Drosophila melanogaster: one gene and its partners. The protein of the gene in region 1 purifies or fractionates together with the protein of each later gene. This does not show direct contact. Each region holds a gene or a part of one and is shown in the gene's direction. Other genes may lie near its edges.

The links.
Region 2: the proteins of Tm1 (region 1) and GstS1 fractionate together in Drosophila melanogaster (co-fractionation; 2 studies listed by BioGRID). This does not show direct contact.
Region 3: the proteins of Tm1 (region 1) and stau purify together in Drosophila melanogaster (affinity purification with western blotting, with the first as the bait; one study listed by BioGRID). This does not show direct contact.

What each region holds. Positions count from the first base shown.
Region 1 is NT_033777.3:15,279,767-15,284,587, forward strand, and holds the start of Tm1 (tropomyosin 1), read left to right. Parts: upstream 1-1,783; 5' UTR 1,784-1,837; exon of another isoform or gene 1,838-2,091; intron 2,092-4,821. UniProt on the Drosophila melanogaster protein: Tropomyosin, in association with the troponin complex, plays a central role in the calcium dependent regulation of muscle contraction.
Region 2 is NT_033778.4:17,093,457-17,101,195, reverse strand, and holds the start of GstS1 (glutathione S transferase S1), read left to right. Parts: upstream 1-1,694; 5' UTR 1,695-1,704; intron 1,705-2,889; exon of another isoform or gene 2,890-3,070; intron 3,071-3,660; exon of another isoform or gene 3,661-3,968; intron 3,969-4,218; exon of another isoform or gene 4,219-4,392; intron 4,393-6,135; 5' UTR 6,136-6,160; coding exon 6,161-6,431; intron 6,432-6,499; coding exon 6,500-6,679; intron 6,680-6,737; coding exon of another isoform or gene 6,738-6,746; coding exon 6,747-6,880; intron 6,881-6,967; coding exon 6,968-7,135; 3' UTR 7,136-7,739. UniProt on the Drosophila melanogaster protein: Conjugation of reduced glutathione to a wide number of exogenous and endogenous hydrophobic electrophiles. May be involved in the detoxification of metabolites produced during cellular division and morphogenesis.
Region 3 is NT_033778.4:18,122,735-18,127,448, reverse strand, and holds the start of stau (staufen), read left to right. Parts: upstream 1-1,669; 5' UTR 1,670-1,894; intron 1,895-2,521; 5' UTR 2,522-2,570; coding exon 2,571-2,755; intron 2,756-3,575; exon of another isoform or gene 3,576-3,704; intron 3,705-4,586; coding exon 4,587-4,714. Other genes in the region: Spn55B (serpin 55B), read right to left, coding at 152-1,009. UniProt on the Drosophila melanogaster protein: RNA-binding protein which forms ribonucleoprotein complexes (RNPs) that play critical roles in the localization, translational repression and turnover of RNAs during embryogenesis, neurotransmission and neurogenesis.

The sequences.
Region 1 (4,821 bases):
AAACTTTGGTTTTCCATAACTAACACATGTCAACGGGTCGGATTCGATGGCCATGATTTCGTTTTCGTATTTAGCAAGTTGCTCAGACTGTTTTGCTATTTTACAATGTTTTTCGACGTTTTCTCAAGGGTCTTTTCCATGTCTATGTCTTCTTTGTTTTTTTTTTTCTTTGTCTTTATAAATATATTGATCTAGTTTTCTTGCTTCGAAAACTTTTTGTTTTTAATGAATACAATTACGTCATTTTGTGGGTGTTGTTTGAGTTAATTTTAAAATTTTCATCAACCTCGGACTGGCAAATGTTCTCCAAGATAAGAGAACAACAAAAAATGGAATAAGTAAATACATATATGTATATATGTTGGGGCTATCAAATTGGCTTATATTTATAGGTTTATATTTAAAGACTTTAGTTGCATTCGAACATATAAGATCTCCAACAATTTTGTTGGCGATAAGATTAAAAGGGCGTGATCAACGAGTAAGCAAGCAATCTAGAAGGGCAAATATGCATATCACCAGATCGGAAACTCAACGATTATGGGGAAACTGAATTTCAACCGTTTTCACGTTTGCAATTTAAAAAAGCATGAATCATGGATGCATTTTCTTGCGAGACAGTTACAAAAAAACGTATACTTTCATATGTGACATTTATGATTGCCAGCAAAATGTTTTCCGTTCGCAGACATGACGTTGAAAAATCTATAGAAAGAGCTTTAATATATAGAGCAGAAAATAATAATCTGTAGACCTATGGGGGAAATACGTACGTATAACTACGTGAAACAAGATTTTTTGGCATATCAATAACTGAAAATTAAAAATAGAAGTTGAGAACATCAAAAAGCAAAACAAAACGATCCCCAAACCAATACACTCTCATCGGGAAAAGAGACACGATTGCCTAAGTATTGGATATATTTTGCAATGGGCAAAAACACTGGGTGAAAAGAGCTTTTCAAAATACGGGGAAATATTCAAAAATAGGCTGAAAGAAAGGCATTCGATTCGAAATGAGTGAGCATTACCCATACATGTGCAGCGAACAGGTGAAAGCACCAAGGAAAGGATCGGAAAAGAGAGGCAGAGAGAAAGCGGAGAGAGAGCGCAGGCGCCGGGCTTGAATGTGTGTGTATAAATTGTAACTGTATTTGAAATTCTGATCTTATGCTTTCCGTTACACTGGCAGAAATCGGATAGGAACATAAATTAAATATATTACGGGCTGAGGGGTAAAGAAATGTTGTACAGCTTTCTTAACTGGCATAGCCCATTTCACTTTGGAGTATTTTCTGAATGAAAAAAACATTTAATATAATTTATAAATGAATTTCAAAATTCAAATTTGTAATAACAAAAGTAGCATGAGTAAATGATGATAAATGATAAGTGCGACATAAATTTATAAATACATTAAATCAAAAGTGCATATTAAATGTCCTGATATTAGAAAGCATGCATGATTACATTAAATATGAGTATATAAATAAGAACAAATGCACCCCTTTGTTGATTTCGCGCAGTGTATAAGCTATTGTACCCCGGCCGAGCAATTTACCGATGCTCTTGGGGTAAATTGAGAGCCAAGTGCAGTTCCAAAGTAGGCGCAGACAGCAACAACATATGCTCGCTTTTGGCCGAAAAGTGCGCACTCTCGCACACAGATACTCACGCACACAGGCGCACTAGCGCGGCGGCTCACACGCACACACACCAGCGCAAGCCGCTCGAAATCGACCAAGCGGCGAGCATCGAACGTCAACATATTGAATAAATATTTTCAGTTGAACATCACAATCCGTTCAAGTCGCGGATAACTCCGAATAAAAGTTTTGTAAGTAAAAAGGAATACGTTATCGTTGATCAGTAAAAAATTATACAAAAAAAAATACAAAGATATCGCTGAATATTTCCACAAAAATACTTGTCGAGTGCTTCAAAAATAATTTTAACTGTGCTAGAATTCGATTCTTATTTAAAAAAAAGGATCGAACCAAAAAGTATAATTACATAACCACAACGTTGCTGCAATATCTAACTTAAAATCCACCAAAGTGCTGTGCAATTCTCAACCCTAATCATCCGCAAGTATTGAAAAAAATTGAAAATTTTCCCAGTTAGAATCGAAATAAACCCAAATAGAGGTTAAGCACCTTTGCAGATCGCGAAAAAAAAACTAAGAATAACGATTCTGGGGACCTTGTCAAGTTTGTCTGCTAACCGCAAGTTGCTATATAGGGTTTCAGCTAAACGTATTTCATGAGATATATAAACATGGTCAGTGGGAACTTCGAACGATCTTAGATTTTAGCGGCAGAAGTAAAGAATTAAGGCAAAAGGAGGATTATCGAGCTCTCTTTCCTCCTTTCAGAAACTAAAATTGTCATGTTGTATATGAGAAAGTAAGGGAATCATTCTTAAGATAAAGATCAATGAGATAGACTTCAAGATAGCTATCCTTGCTATGGAATGGTTTCCTGAATTATAATTTTCTTTAATCCAAAATGTTTAGGAATTCATTGAGCCTATTTTCCAAGTAACTGGGCAACACGCGCATTTACTTTGCAGTTTTGTATCTTTGAAATCTGATCCACGACCGCTGGCCCTAGCTGCCAAATGAATCTGAAGCGAACGTAGGCGAAATGCGCCAAGAATTTCCCAGAAAGCTCCCTTCCTCTCAGCTTAGTATTAAGTAATATCCGTGGAGAGGCTAGATATTCAACAGATGCCTCGGCTGTCCTATTTTTAGATACAATCCGTGTGTGCTACAGATACTAAACAGTGAAATAGAGAGCAGGAAAGCTGCTAGAGTATCGCCCAAGGCATTTGGCTAAAGAATCTATATGCATTAGACCCATTTGAACCAACGTGTGTATATATCGTACTCTAAGAATAGAAAATTCTGTATTCTGTATGATTAAATTCCGAATTTTCCATGCGATAATTTGTAAATTTTGTGTGGAAAGGTAGATCTTATAAGGTCGGATACAGATGGAAAATATCTGTAACTTGTAAACTAGGCAGAAAAGTAGGAATTGCGAGGTGCCAGTTCATAAGGATGGCTTGTTAGTTGGCCATAGTTAGTTAGATATAAAAAATGAGTTATACATATACGCATTTTGTTTCCTGAAATATTAACTTTGTTCCTAATGATAACGTCATTTCTTGATAAGGATGATCTTAATACTCATAAACCTCTTTGGTGTAGGCCCATTTTTCGATTATATATATGTCATTGCCGAAAGTTATAAGATGTCATGGGAATTTTGTGCTGAATCAACGCAAACATAACTCAATGTGTCACCTTAATCGACTTATGGCCCATACACATGCAGATTTATATATATATATATATGTATATCTGTGTGTTTTTTAAGCGAACAAAAAATTTGCCTCGATTGCGTTTTCATTAAAATTCAACGTTTTTTTTTTTTGGCTTTGGCTTTATTCGATTGGCGCTTTTTTCTCCAATGCCACTTCTCTTCGGCGGATCAGGCACAGGAATGTAAACAGAGTTTTTAAAAATAAATGCATGTTTAAGGCAGAACCACACAACAAATGACAGCGATGAGCCGTAATAAAGAATTAAAATTTCACGCGGCGAAATTCGAGTCAATTAGCCGCCGGCTGCACTCGGTTCGAGCCATGACAAATGTTGGTCAAGTGGGTTTCGTGTTGGCCAGGAAAGGCAAAGGGGGTGTCAATGGGCACCAAGGAGGGGCCAAAAAACCCACCAGCTGCGTTCACATTGAGTCAGAAGTCTGGAGCTGCTCGAGAAAAGGGGCAATAGCCCAGTGCAGCTGAGTGATTCATCTTGGGTTTTTAATTCGAGGATGGTAGCTACAGCATCTGCACTTTACTGATAAGAATGCAATTCCAAGATAAAGCGCACATTTGTAAATATAAATTGATTTGAGTAAACATATATGGCACCTAAGAGTATGCAATGATATATGTTAGTTAAAAAAATATATTAAATGAGCTTACTATCATTTCAAATCCTCATTCTACTTTCGAAGATTTAGAAGACTTTATCTATGCAGCAATTTCTTGGCCCAGATTGGAATCTACTGACACAATTTTGGCTGGTGACAGAACTCTCTATTCGAGAATGTACCCAGTTCGTCCAGCTTCGTTTGGCTCCACACCACGCGATCCGATGTGATCTGCATAAATAAACACCCTGCTTTCGGTGTTTCGAAGTATATCCCAGAAAATAAGGTTCAATTTTAGGTATTCTCGTTTAAATGATTTACTGTGACGAGATGAGAAAACACTCTCAAAGTTCAGAACATCAGCGAAAGAATCGGACAATAAAAGTCGTGAAGAGACGCCGTCGAAATATTAAATTCTCAATTTATCAGTTGGCTAAGCTCGAACAATGCGACTGACTGGCATCGAAAAGGGGGCCTTGGTTGTTTCGGTTTTGGCCAGGCCGAATAATTTATTGACTCTGCCACCTTTCGTCCAAAAATGGCTATCCATTATTGCAAAAAACTCGCTGTGTAGCTTGAAATGGAAGAAAGATCTGCCAGTTATTTTGATAACATGCAGATAAGATGGGAGCTTTAAAGTTATGAATTTAAATACATATATGTGCAGAAATCAGATTGCAGGATCCTCATGTAAATACACAAGTTATAAAATTGCTAAATTAATCATAAAATGCAAATGCATTTTCCATATAGTTTCACTTTCGCACAAGCCATGTTTGGACTTGAATACTACTCCCCTTGCACTTGCTGATTATCGCATAAATCTGCTAATTGCTTTATTGGCTTGCACTTAACCATGGTTTTAGCCGCAATCTCATCTCCA
Region 2 (7,739 bases), on another chromosome or scaffold:
CCTAATTGGGCATTTAGCATCGTCACATGCAAGTTTCATTGTGTTTGACTTTGGCTACCTTTTAACCCGAGTGCAACAAAGGGTATATTGCTTTCGTGCTAGTCTTAAACAGCAATCTACACTTGGAGGTCTATCTAGTATTTTTTCAGTTGGGGGATCAACTCTACTTTTTTTCGTAATAACAATCGGGAAGTATTCGGTCGATCAATTTCTGATTCACTCTGTTATCTTCACCCACTCCACTGCTTATCGTCATTTATAATATTTGAATGGGTTTTAAAGCCACTTCTAACATTTATAAAGTATGGCAATCATAAACGGGTACATTTTCACACAACTACATCAAACTACTTTAACCAAAATCGAAGCTATGGGCGAATAATAGCTAAACAAATAGATACGTGGAAACCTTGAATTGGATAATACGATTTTCGCCCATCAGCAGAGTCAGCTAACAAAATAGAGTTTATGTATTTAGTCAGCCGATTACAAAGATAAAGGCACACAGAATAGTGGCTTTAATGGCTTAAAGTGGCGAAAACCACTCATTACCGACACGAGTCAGTACGAGTTTGAAGCAAAACAGCTTTGGAGCCAGCACTGATTCGGGCGAAAAGTGACAATTTTTTTGTGTATTTACTCAATTAAAATTGGAGTTTGATTTTCAGGTTTTGCACAGTTCATAATTTGTGGGCACGTGTTAATGAGACAGTTTTTGTAAGCGCATGCAGACGTTTCGTGTTCGCTTTGAATTTAGATTTCTTCACTAGCTGCCATTCGAGTTCACTTGCCAATTTCGGCACTTACATTGTTCGCTATTTATCGGTCTTTTGCCGCGCTTTAAGGTCACGGCTCACGCTGCGTATACGCAATGTGGACTTCAAGCGATCGCCCAATTGGAAAACATTCACCAACTCGCGCAACGTTCGCTCACCTGCGCATTTGAATTCGCACTGAAGGTGGAATTCGCAGTGCAGCAAGTGCGAGAATTATCGCCTCTCCCGATCTCACTGTTTCTCTCTCTTTCCATATAGCACCCGTCTATAACTTTTACCGCTGCCGCTCCCGCCGTCTGGTTTTAACTGTTCGCCCGCCGAGTGTTAGTTATAATTTTTTTATGCGCTCGCTTTTTTATTATTTAGATTGCTCTCGCGGGCTCGTCGGTTCCGTTCTGTGTCGCATTTTCCACAGCAAATTATTGTCATAATTCCGCCGCTCATTCTTCGTGCTGCTTACTATTCTTTTTTTTTTACTTATTCCTGGAGTGCAATTGCAGGCGGCATAAATTCTTAATTAGTGCAGGCCACACAGCAAATAATTTTATTTAATTGCAGCCATAGTCATGACCATAAAATAGTAAACTACTTTCAATCCATAAACGTTAAAATCATACATCTATGCACTTTATTGGAAAATATTTTATAGCACGTTGTTAGAACATAAAATTTTATAGCAAGCTTCAAAATGCATAATTGCAGAAAAAATCCATTAGGTTTAAACGTAAAATTTCTGCCTGTGCATAAAACTTAGTGGTCTTCGCCAAGAAAGAAACGAAAAAGAATGCGGAGAAAATTGGCGCACAACCAGGCAGTCTGGAAAACCTACTTCAAAAACAATAACGAATCGAAAATTTCCCTCACTAGCGAGCAGTGCGTCAAAAAAAACTTCGGACTTTTTTTTAAGTCTCAGTTAGAGTTATTCATGGTGAGTCCGCTGCGATTTGTCATATATTCTCCACCTGTTTCACTCGATTATGCACTCGTCAGCGTGTTCGAAATGTCTGTCTTATCGTGAACGATTGTCATATCTTATCAATCGAGGTCTGCTCACAATCGAAACCGCCAACGCAAAACGAAGAGCTGAATACGCGCCATCGCATTAAAGGCCACAAATCGGTCATTTTCTATGGATTTTCGCGTAATTCTACGAGAATTCTGGGCTCGATTTTGTGGGGGATTTTTGCTGTTTTCTTACTTGTGCACCGATTCGCTTATCTTTGCACATTTTCGAACGTACGCCGCCCAGCCAACACAAAAACACACAAATAGTGCCCGAATCGCATGGAATGCTTCTTTTCCAGCTGTGGGAGTCCCATGGCTGCGAAAAGCTGGTGAATTCGATTGCGTTTTATGGTAGTTATTTGGGTAGAAGCAAAGATTGTGTGGGTACAAGATGAAAATTGTAGGAGTCCCATCAATTCACAGTGAATAACACTTAATCAAGTTTTTTAATCAATTAATTCAATTTTATACTATTTTATGTCAAGTGCTAAGCAAACGGCAGTCATTTTCAGCTAATGATAAGATATGAGCTAAGACCTATTTAACTAAGTGTAACTGACCTTCTAACTTAATTTATGGCAATTAATAAATTTCATTAAATTTTGATACAAGTAAACCCAATTAACAAATCATATTTTCGCGCCAATATTCAAAATTTAAACTTACCACACTTTTCTAAGTCGAATTCGCCGCAATTCGAGCCACACTTTTCTAAGTCGAATTCGCCGCAATTCGAGCCACTAACAGCTAGCCAAGCACACAACCTAAATTAGTGCGGCTTCTAACCAACCTTTTTATTATCAAGTACCGCAACCATGCAAAGAGTTGCCAGAATGTTAATTTCGAACATTTACGTTACAAGTTGAATTTGTCATTCAAATGTTTAAATTTTTAAATGGAAATTTTGCCTTCAGCAAATATGCCTAAATTAACAGGTTTAATTAAAATAATTTTACTTATTTTACCGATATTTATAAATGCAATTAGAAAAGATATGAAAGAGCCCCCGTTAAGCTATTCAAAAACAAAACAATGTGCAACATGTTTTAAATGCTTAAATAATTTTAATTTGATATAATTCACAAGCGTTATACATTTTTTCCCTTAGACAACCCTATGAAGTGAACCTGATGCTTCCCACATAAGTAAACATCTTGGATGCACTCGAATTTCGTCGCCAGGCACCGCCAGTCTGGATCGAACTAAGCAAAGTCCAGAGCACCGCGATTGAGTATTGGGCGTTTCAAATTTCCTGGCTAATTTCTCACAATCAGTTAATGCTAACAAAAGTACTTATGCGGCGGATAGTTCCTAAGAATGTGGGAGTATGACTTTAAGATACGATAAACTTACTTAATGCAAATAGGAGTAAGATTGAAAGTTAATAATTAGTTTTAGGTACCCATAAGATGTTTTTTTCTTCGGCTCTCAAAATCTGCTTTATTTAGTTTTCGTTCTTTAAACTATGTATCTTTTAAGTGGGCAGTAAACAAGCTTCATCCACTAAAAGCCCAAACAAATATTTACTGCCTTTTTTTGCTACTATAATTGGTTTATTACTGAGCTGAGAACCTCTCCCAAAGAGATCTATTTAAATGCCGACTGAGAGATTTTAAGAACAGAGAGAGAGTTCCATTTTGTTTATGAAAAGCTAATTGCCAAATTGGGAAGCCAAAGCCTGCTGGAATATTGCATTCCATTTAAGAAAAGAGGGTAGGAAGAAGAAGAACTGGAAACGTGGCTAAATATGTTAACTAATTCATTAACTTCGTTTCCTTTTCAACGCCCACTGGAACTAGAATCAGAGAGAGAGAGAGAGAGAGAGAGAGAGAGAGAGAGAGAGAGCCAAACTTAAAATTAAAACACTACCTTTTTCCAGTTAACCGGCCGGCTTACACACACAGTCAAACGCCTGAAGCTTGAAAGAGAGTGTTTGCTTGATGAGAGCGGCAAGCGTATAAAAGCAGCGTCGCCGGCAGAAGAAAGTCAGTTGCAGTGCAGTCGTCGTGACGATCGGTTCAGTGATAGCTTCCCAGTGGCTGGAGAGAGTGAGAGTAGAGAGTAACGGAAAGAGAGTGCGAATCGAACCGAACGCTATTCCTTCGCCCACGATTTAAGTGAACGCTTATTAGCGAATTGAAGACCCGAGAGCCCCAGTGCCCAGCTGATTTCGTATTCTTTGTTGAGGTAAGCCAAGGAATCCCTGGAACCACCTCATTTCGTAGCACCTTAGTGATGTAATTACGCACCAAGATTTACCCTTGCCAAAAAGTGGAAAACGCTTTTGCGAACTTCGATGCCGAATGGTGTTCGTCTCGAATCGGTTCTAAAATTACACACAATGGTTTTTTGGCTTCGATTGATTTGATTTGATTTTTGGGTCAATCGATTCGAAATCGAAAAGTTTTGAACTCGTTTCGCAGAATCGCAGTTCGCGCGGATCTCTCGCCTCGCTCGCAAGCAAATATGTGAAGGACAACGACGTTAACCGATCAACTAGAAGCCCTCTTCTTCTGCCTCTTCAGAACCGATCAGATCGGAATAGAAATATAGAAACGACCATAGCACCTCCGTCGACTGTGGAGTGCGTGAACGTATTTCGAAGCGTGAGGTACTCGAACCGGAACCAACTTGAGTGTAGTGCATATTCGGGATCTTATCCAAACGCAGGCTTACATAACCCCTATTTTAATACCTTTTCAAAAAGGAATAATTGAAATTCAAAACAAAATTATTTAGCAACAAACAAACAATCAGTTATATTTTTGAACTGATATGCCTCGGGGCTAGGGGTCCCAGACTTTCAAATTCTAGTGATAACCCCCCCGATCGGCGAGTTCATCTGGAAATGTTGCCCATATGGGCCGGGTGCACGTGAATCTCTTCAGTGCCCATTGACGCACTTTGTGTGCCTCCACTGGGTCCTTGACCCGCTGTGATCCCTGCCCTTTCCCATGGATTGGATAATCTAGGTGTCATTATCTTCCCTAACCTTTTCCCACGATTAAAGTGAAACCATTTGCCACGATTTTAGTGCCGTAGTGCCAGATCAAAGAGCCAAAATAGATCAGAGAATCGAAATTTAATTAAATCATGACACCGAAACACCGAGACAGACCAAATTAAATTCAATTGAAGCTGTCATGGCAACAAGTGCCAGCAAAAAAAAGGAAGAGCACTACGGCGAAACCAGAAGATAACACCGAAAAGTCAAATCGATTGTTGCAATTTGAGACTCTCCGAAAGCGAAAATTGCAGCGGAAGAGGCGGCCAATCGGCCATTACTAAACGGTGATGGGGTTGGGGAGGGGATCCGAAGTCTTGGTGACTGACTGGGCGCCCTGCCAAAATGATGGCAAAGGCAGAGACACCATGATTCCTCAGCCAAATCGAACGAAAACGGGTTTACGCTCTACATGGACCCCATTGCACACTGAATCCGTTTATCCAGCGAGGCAAAAAGTGCCGACGACAATGGAAACAGGGGCGTAGTATCCGTACCTCCTCCGTCCTACGATTCTTCCAGCAGCGCCAACGCCCCAAAAGATATTGATTCCGACTTTTGCGCGATTCAGCGAAAAACATAAGGGGACCAAAAGTGGGCAGACGGGCGGAGGAGTGGTGTCTGTTTCTTTGATATGCGTGGGTGTGTTGTCTGTGCGGCAATCGATGCACTTCCGGTGGGTTCTATGGGGAAATACTCTTGCGTTTCAGTATATATCTACTATATATATTGCAATTTTATGGTAATTATATTTTCTGTCAACTTTTGCCTTGACTCCGCTTGATTTATTGCATTGTTCTTGAAGAATAGCCTCATAAGGCATGCAAGCAAACATGGCTTTCGAACTAGCGCAAAATTAGCTAGTAGCTTATAGAGTATATGTAGCTTACCCCCAACGGTTTTTATATCATTTGTTTAAACCACTTAAGAATATTCGTAGCCTTGTGGACACACTTTATCGTGGATCGTGGAAGTTATACGACACCGTAATATATCCTTATCACTCACGCATATTCTGGCCCACTTCAGCTAGAAACGTTTGGCGCGTTCGCCTTATCATAAAAATCAGGCTATCGACTGATTAACTGAGTTTAATAAGCCAGCAAACGTAAACAAAAACTACGAAAGTTCTGGAAAACTAACCAAGGCTATTTCAAAACGGCGTGAAATGGCTAGCACTCTAAATTATTGAAGTTTTCAACATATGTATATCTAATCTGATAGCCAAGAAAACATAATGGTTACCAACTTTCCATATACACCGTAATTTATTATTGATGAATATCAAATTATCGATAGTACTTCCCCGATAAGATTCTGTTAACACACATTGCTCTACTTTTCTATCAGGGAATTGCATTGAGAAAGCGCAGAGATGGCCGATGAAGCACAAGCACCACCAGCTGAGGGAGCACCACCAGCCGAGGGAGAGGCGCCACCACCCGCCGAGGGAGCCGAGGGTGCCGTCGAGGGCGGAGAGGCCGCTCCACCAGCAGAGCCCGCCGAGCCCATCAAGCACAGCTACACGCTCTTCTACTTCAACGTGAAGGCGTTGGCCGAGCCCCTGCGCTACCTGTTCGCCTACGGCAACCAGGAGTACGAGGATGTGCGCGTCACCCGCGACGAGTGGCCAGCCCTGAAGCCCAGTGAGTGCCATAGTCCATCATTGAGTGGTCAGTGGACTAACCATAATCTACTCTGTCTCATCCAATAGCCATGCCCATGGGACAGATGCCCGTGCTGGAGGTGGACGGCAAGCGTGTGCACCAGAGCATTTCGATGGCTCGATTCCTGGCCAAGACTGTCGGCCTGTGCGGCGCTACTCCGTGGGAGGATCTGCAGATCGACATTGTCGTTGACACCATCAATGACTTCCGTCTAAGTAGCGAACAATGTGTGCCTCAGTTTCATGTTCAGTGTCCTTGATTAACTCTGGAATTTTTAATGTATAGAAATTGCAGTCGTCTCGTACGAGCCGGAGGACGAGATTAAAGAGAAGAAGTTGGTCACCCTGAATGCGGAGGTCATTCCATTCTACCTGGAGAAGCTCGAGCAGACCGTCAAGGACAACGATGGTCACCTGGCTCTGGGCAAGGTGCGTGCTCAAATGAGAACTTGAAACCATACACTCGTTAATTTTGAATGAACAATACTAAGAACCATCGATTCCTTTCACCCACAGCTGACCTGGGCCGACGTCTACTTCGCAGGCATCACCGACTACATGAACTACATGGTCAAGCGCGATCTGTTGGAACCCTACCCAGCTCTGCGCGGAGTCGTGGATGCCGTCAACGCTTTGGAACCGATCAAGGCCTGGATCGAGAAGCGCCCCGTCACCGAGGTCTAAGTTCACCGAACAGGACTTGGGAGGATGGGAAAGCATTGCACAACCACTCAGACACAACCGCACCGCAGAAATGCACACCACCCACATCTGCACACATTTTGTTCCTTTTTGCGGAGGATCCGAGAGGACGGCGGATTTTCGCACGGGGTCATAAACGCGTAGGAGTTTAGCACGTATCACTATGGATAAATCGTATTTGTTCTTAATTTCTTGGTTATAATTCTCTTTGCATGGCGCTATATACATATTTCTATTGGGGTCCGGCAGCGGATCGCCGTTCGTTAGCTTCTTCTGAAATGATGAAAGATAATACTTATTGCACAGTTTATAATATTTTGGCTTACTTTTAGAACATACATTTAGCGCACCTATGCAGACATTTGCTGTACCTATATATATATATATATGCATAAAATACAAAAGCTACGAGTGGTTCATCTTATAGGCGTATTCTATTGCAATTTATTCAATGCGGAGGGCTCAATAAATATTTAAAACAACACCAGCTAAGGCTGAGAAACAATTACAAATTCTTATTTTGTTTTTTATACAACACGCCATCGCGGCCCCAGGAATTTTCTTCGTCTCATCCAGTTCCCTTTTA
Region 3 (4,714 bases), on another chromosome or scaffold:
AAACTTCACCTTAAGCACGCAACATCAAATGGAGGTCAAGGAACTGTGTTATATAAAAACAAAAGCTGACCCCAAATGGAGCTTAATTGTGGCATAAATTGGGTGGAACAATCAACCCCCCCCACCCCCAAAAAAAAAAAATAATATGTACCTGCTTCAGTTTCTCGGCCAATTCCAGGGAGTAGTCCACCTTAAACTTGGGGAACTTGACATGGACCTCTTCCACGGTCAACTTGTCGGCCAAATCCACCAGGTTCACAGTCTTGAGCTTCTCGGCTAGGGCGTAAATACCTGTCCGCTCCTGCGGCAGCAGCACGAACATGGAGAGGTCAGAGTCCTGGTAGGGCATCTCCAGGGCAGTGCAGCCCAGATCTTCGAAGAAGCCATAGTTGAACTTGGCCTTCTGGTTCATGTAGTTGATTTTAACCTGCTCCTCCTCGCCCACCCAGAAGATATCCTCCTCGGTGCGCTCCTCGCTGAACTTGTGCGCCCAGCTGCCCTTGAAGTGGAGGGCATTGAGCAGGACCAGCCTGGTGTTGTCCGAGAACGAGTCCGCGCTGACCAGCTCCGTAATCTTGCCCTGAGTCTTGGCATTCACCCAGGCATTGATGGCCTGGGCGGCGGCATCGTTGAGCGCAAAGTTAATGGACTCCGCCTCCGAATGATACTGCTCCTTGATGGCCGACTGGTAGGCGGGCTTCAGCTGCTTGCCCTCCTGCACGTACAGCTTGTTGGCAACGCGCAGCAGGTTACTGTTGCGGTACTTCTCCAGCACAAACTGGAACGTTTGGGCCACCTCCGGCGGAAAGTTGGAGACGAAGTGCAGTGCCTTGGCGATCTCGTCGGCGGTTTCACCCTGCGATCCGGCAAAGGCCAGGGCAATGCAAGTTTGGATGGAGAAGGGCGAGAAGACGACGTTCTCCTTGAGCCCGCCAGCGCTCAAAAGCTGAAAAAGTTCGCTGGTGAAACGGGCACCTCCACGCGCAAATTCCAAATTGAAATCGAACATATTGACGGACTGAACTGAGTAATTGTGGGTGTGCTGCGTAATCGCGGAACTGCGTGTGCTTGCTCTCTGGTCTGCTGTCTACACCGGAATGCCTTAAATGCCATTCGGGGCCACAACAAAAGTGAAAACATCGGCCAGCCGGCGAATGAGTCACAGCCAAAATATTATCAAAACAATCGAAGCGAATTGGTGGCGTCATCATTTTCATGATCTAGCAACCTTGGGGGCATCCCCGGGTTCATCCCAAAAATAAAAGTAATAGGGCGTTCTTTAAATAGCCACTGTTTTTCAGTTTTTGTTTGTCTGATGATAAAATTCTTAAAAATATGTTTTTATTTTTAATATTATTTTGCAGTGTGACCTTAAGCATTGGCGCCTAAAAACGCTGGCTTTCTGTCCAACAAATACTAAAATACACTTGAACAGGAAAACGCATGCTGTTGTTTGTTGTTTGTAATTCAATCAATAAGCCTGTTAGTTAAATATTTCGTAATTACAGATTTAAATAATTTCGAATTAATATTTATGCCCTTTTTAAAGTTATCAATTTCGATAGGCATAAAATACCAGATCGACTATTGTGCAGCCCTGGCGCTTCTGCGCGCGCGCTTTCCAACACCGCCGTACGCAACCACCCCGCTTCCCGCTCGCCTAAAAGCCATTATTTTTCGAGTTTCATCCGCAGCCACAGTGCAAAATAGGTTTATCAATTTAATTTAAGTGTTAAAGTAGTTCTAAAGTGTTTTTTAAGTTGCGCAAACGATCGAGGCCAGCCCGCATGAATGGATGTGCATGTGTCCATCGATCGAACGGAGTATTTGCATTCAGTTGTTGTGATTTTCCCGTGACCATTGCGTACGAAAATCGTTTTGGGAGCGCAAGAAGGTGAGTTGCGTCTGCAGATCGTTATGCCACTCTCGTTTCGGATGCGGACTGGGAATCGGAATGGGGTTACGGAACGGAATGGAAGGGAAGGGAACAGAATCCATGGATGTGTGGATCTGGGTCTAGGTCTTGTTCTTGGTCTTGGTTTGGGTCTGGGTCCTTGAACCCCTGCACGGAATGCACGAAACCTGAATTGCGCACTGCAGCTGCATTTTATCCGATTTCACCAAGAACACACAGAGGCATAAGGCAACCGGAGGGCCGTAAGAACCAGAAAAGTGCAACCAGGAGTGGTTGCTTGGCATCGGCAACGAATCAGTCGATTTGAACCCTTCTACCCGCCGCCTGTCACAATTTGATTTAGGCCGATGTCGTCGCTTCAGTTGCATTTCTATGTATATATATATATATATACGCATATATGTATGCACACACATATGTATGTATGTATATAGGTAGATACGTGTGCACCATGTCCATTTGCATTTCGCATTTATATGCCCCGCATGCAGTTGCAACTTGTTTACGCACAATCGCCGCACAAAGAAACACCTCCAGGGCCCTTTGTGCGGACAGGGAAAACATTGTTTGTGTCCGTCTCATCCATGTTCCTTTTCCTCCTTGCAGCTGCGGTCGCTGGTTCATACGGGAGTCCTAAAGGTTACAGCTCAAGAAAATGCAGCACAACGTTCATGCCGCCCGGCCAGCGCCCCACATCCGAGCTGCGCACCATCACAGCCACAGCCATGCCCACATGCATCTGCATCCCGGCATGGAGCAGCACCTGGGCCCCAGTCTTCAGCAGCAACAGCAGCCGCCACCGCCGCCCCAGCAGCCTCCACATCGCGACCTCCACGCACGGTAAGCCATCTATGTCGTTGACGCTATCAGGAATAACAATTAAACCAGATAATGCTTCATCCTTCAGTCAAATAAGAGTAGTATCAGTTTATTAAATTGTGATACCTTTTGGAGTTCGGTTCCAATTTAGCAGTTCTAACTATGTTTGGAGTTAAACAAGATGGTACGCCTTGTTGGTTCAGTTTGTTTTCGGAAATGGTTATCATCCCCTTCATTCAATCGAAACTCCATGTAAACAAGAAGGGGTAACATGGGTTAAATAGGTTTTCCAAGTCTAGAAGAATTCCCATCTATCTATGTACAGGAAGGAACTTTTAGATAGGTGTGTTATTAATATGGGATAACATCTTATAGAGTTTCCTAATCTAGATCGAGATCTCAGTATAAATTGTTTAGGCAATAATGTACCACTAGCCACTGGTTGGATCTCATGGACTCAGTGTGAATCTCAGGTGAGGAAAATGTATCTCCCTGGCTTGGTTGGATCCTAGAGAGATTCCACATCGACTCGAAACGCCAGCTTGTCTGAGCTTTATGCGTTGCGGCAATTATGTTAATTCCTGTCACTGACAATTGGTGTGAGACTCATCATCCCATTTTCTCAACTCATAAATTATAATTTCAGTGGCTCTTTGTTCTTTCGCGCTCAGCATGACTTCCGCTCGATGATAACGGGTTTGCCCTGCCGACTGCGCTGCAATTATCCTTGACGTTCGCGAGTATCCTTCGGCTCGGCCTCCAGTAGTTCAGGCTCCTCGTATTGTCTACGATCATATGTTTCGCCAAACTCTCTGCAAACTGCTCATCCAGTTCCGCATTCAGTTGCGTTTTGCCTGCCGGTCGGATCGGGTCGCACATGAATTTATTACCGACGTTCGCTGATTCTAACGTACATTTGCGTACGATCTTTTAACGATCATGATAGACTTTCATCAGTGCCAAGTGAGAGGTGAAATATGCAAGAAGATTAAAGTTATAGAAACTGAAGCGGGATCTAATAAGTTCGCAAGACAATAAATTAAAGAACTCGTAAAGATAAGAGATGAGATTTTGCAAATGAAATCAAATCCTCTTAACCATATAACTTGCAAGTGAAAGGTACGAAAGGAATAAACTTCAGATATTACTACAGATTTGTATTAGCCTGAAATATGGATTATCACATTGCTCAGACTTGTTTTCAAAAAAGAGTGTCCATAAACATTAAGAGCATTCAATTAATTACCTTTCCCTTACGCAGGACATTTTTATCGCATATCAACTGATCCTAATCACAAATTGCCCATATCAATGTTAATTTGAAGGCTTGTTTCCGTACTGATTTAGCGATTATAAATTGCCAAAAATATTTCCTTGTCTTGTGAAATGTACGAGGCTGTAGGTAAAGGTCGCTAGAGTGCTCTCCTACCCTCGATCATTGGGAAAGGAAAGGTAGGGAGCGGTTGCAGGAGCAGGGTGTCGCAGTAGGTGCGTCTCAATTGAAACTGACAGTTGGCGAAAAATGACACGATGCGTAAGAGAATGCGGCTTTTGTGCTTTGTTAGGATTTTGTCCATTGTTCGGCGTGGTCGCTGTTGTCTGCTATTCCGCAGGAACAACAACATACGGCAGAGGGTTGGGGGGGGCCACGAAGCTTCTAGGACCTCTCTCGTTGGTGTTTTTGTTTTTCCCGTGCGCCAGTCGATGTACACTTTTGTCTCGATGGCCTCTATAATCCTCTTGGTGTGCATTGTTTGCTGATATAACCGCAGAAGCCAGCGCATCCGCCCCAGGAGCTCTTACTTGTGGCCATCGATTAACCAATTTGCTTGCTCTATCCTCCGTTTTGCAGTCTGAATCATCACCATCTCCACGCTCAGCAGCAGCAGCAGCAACAGACGTCGTCGAACCAAGCCGGCGCCGTCGCTGCGGCTGGGGCTGCCTATCACCACGGCAACATCAACAGCAACAGCGGCAGCA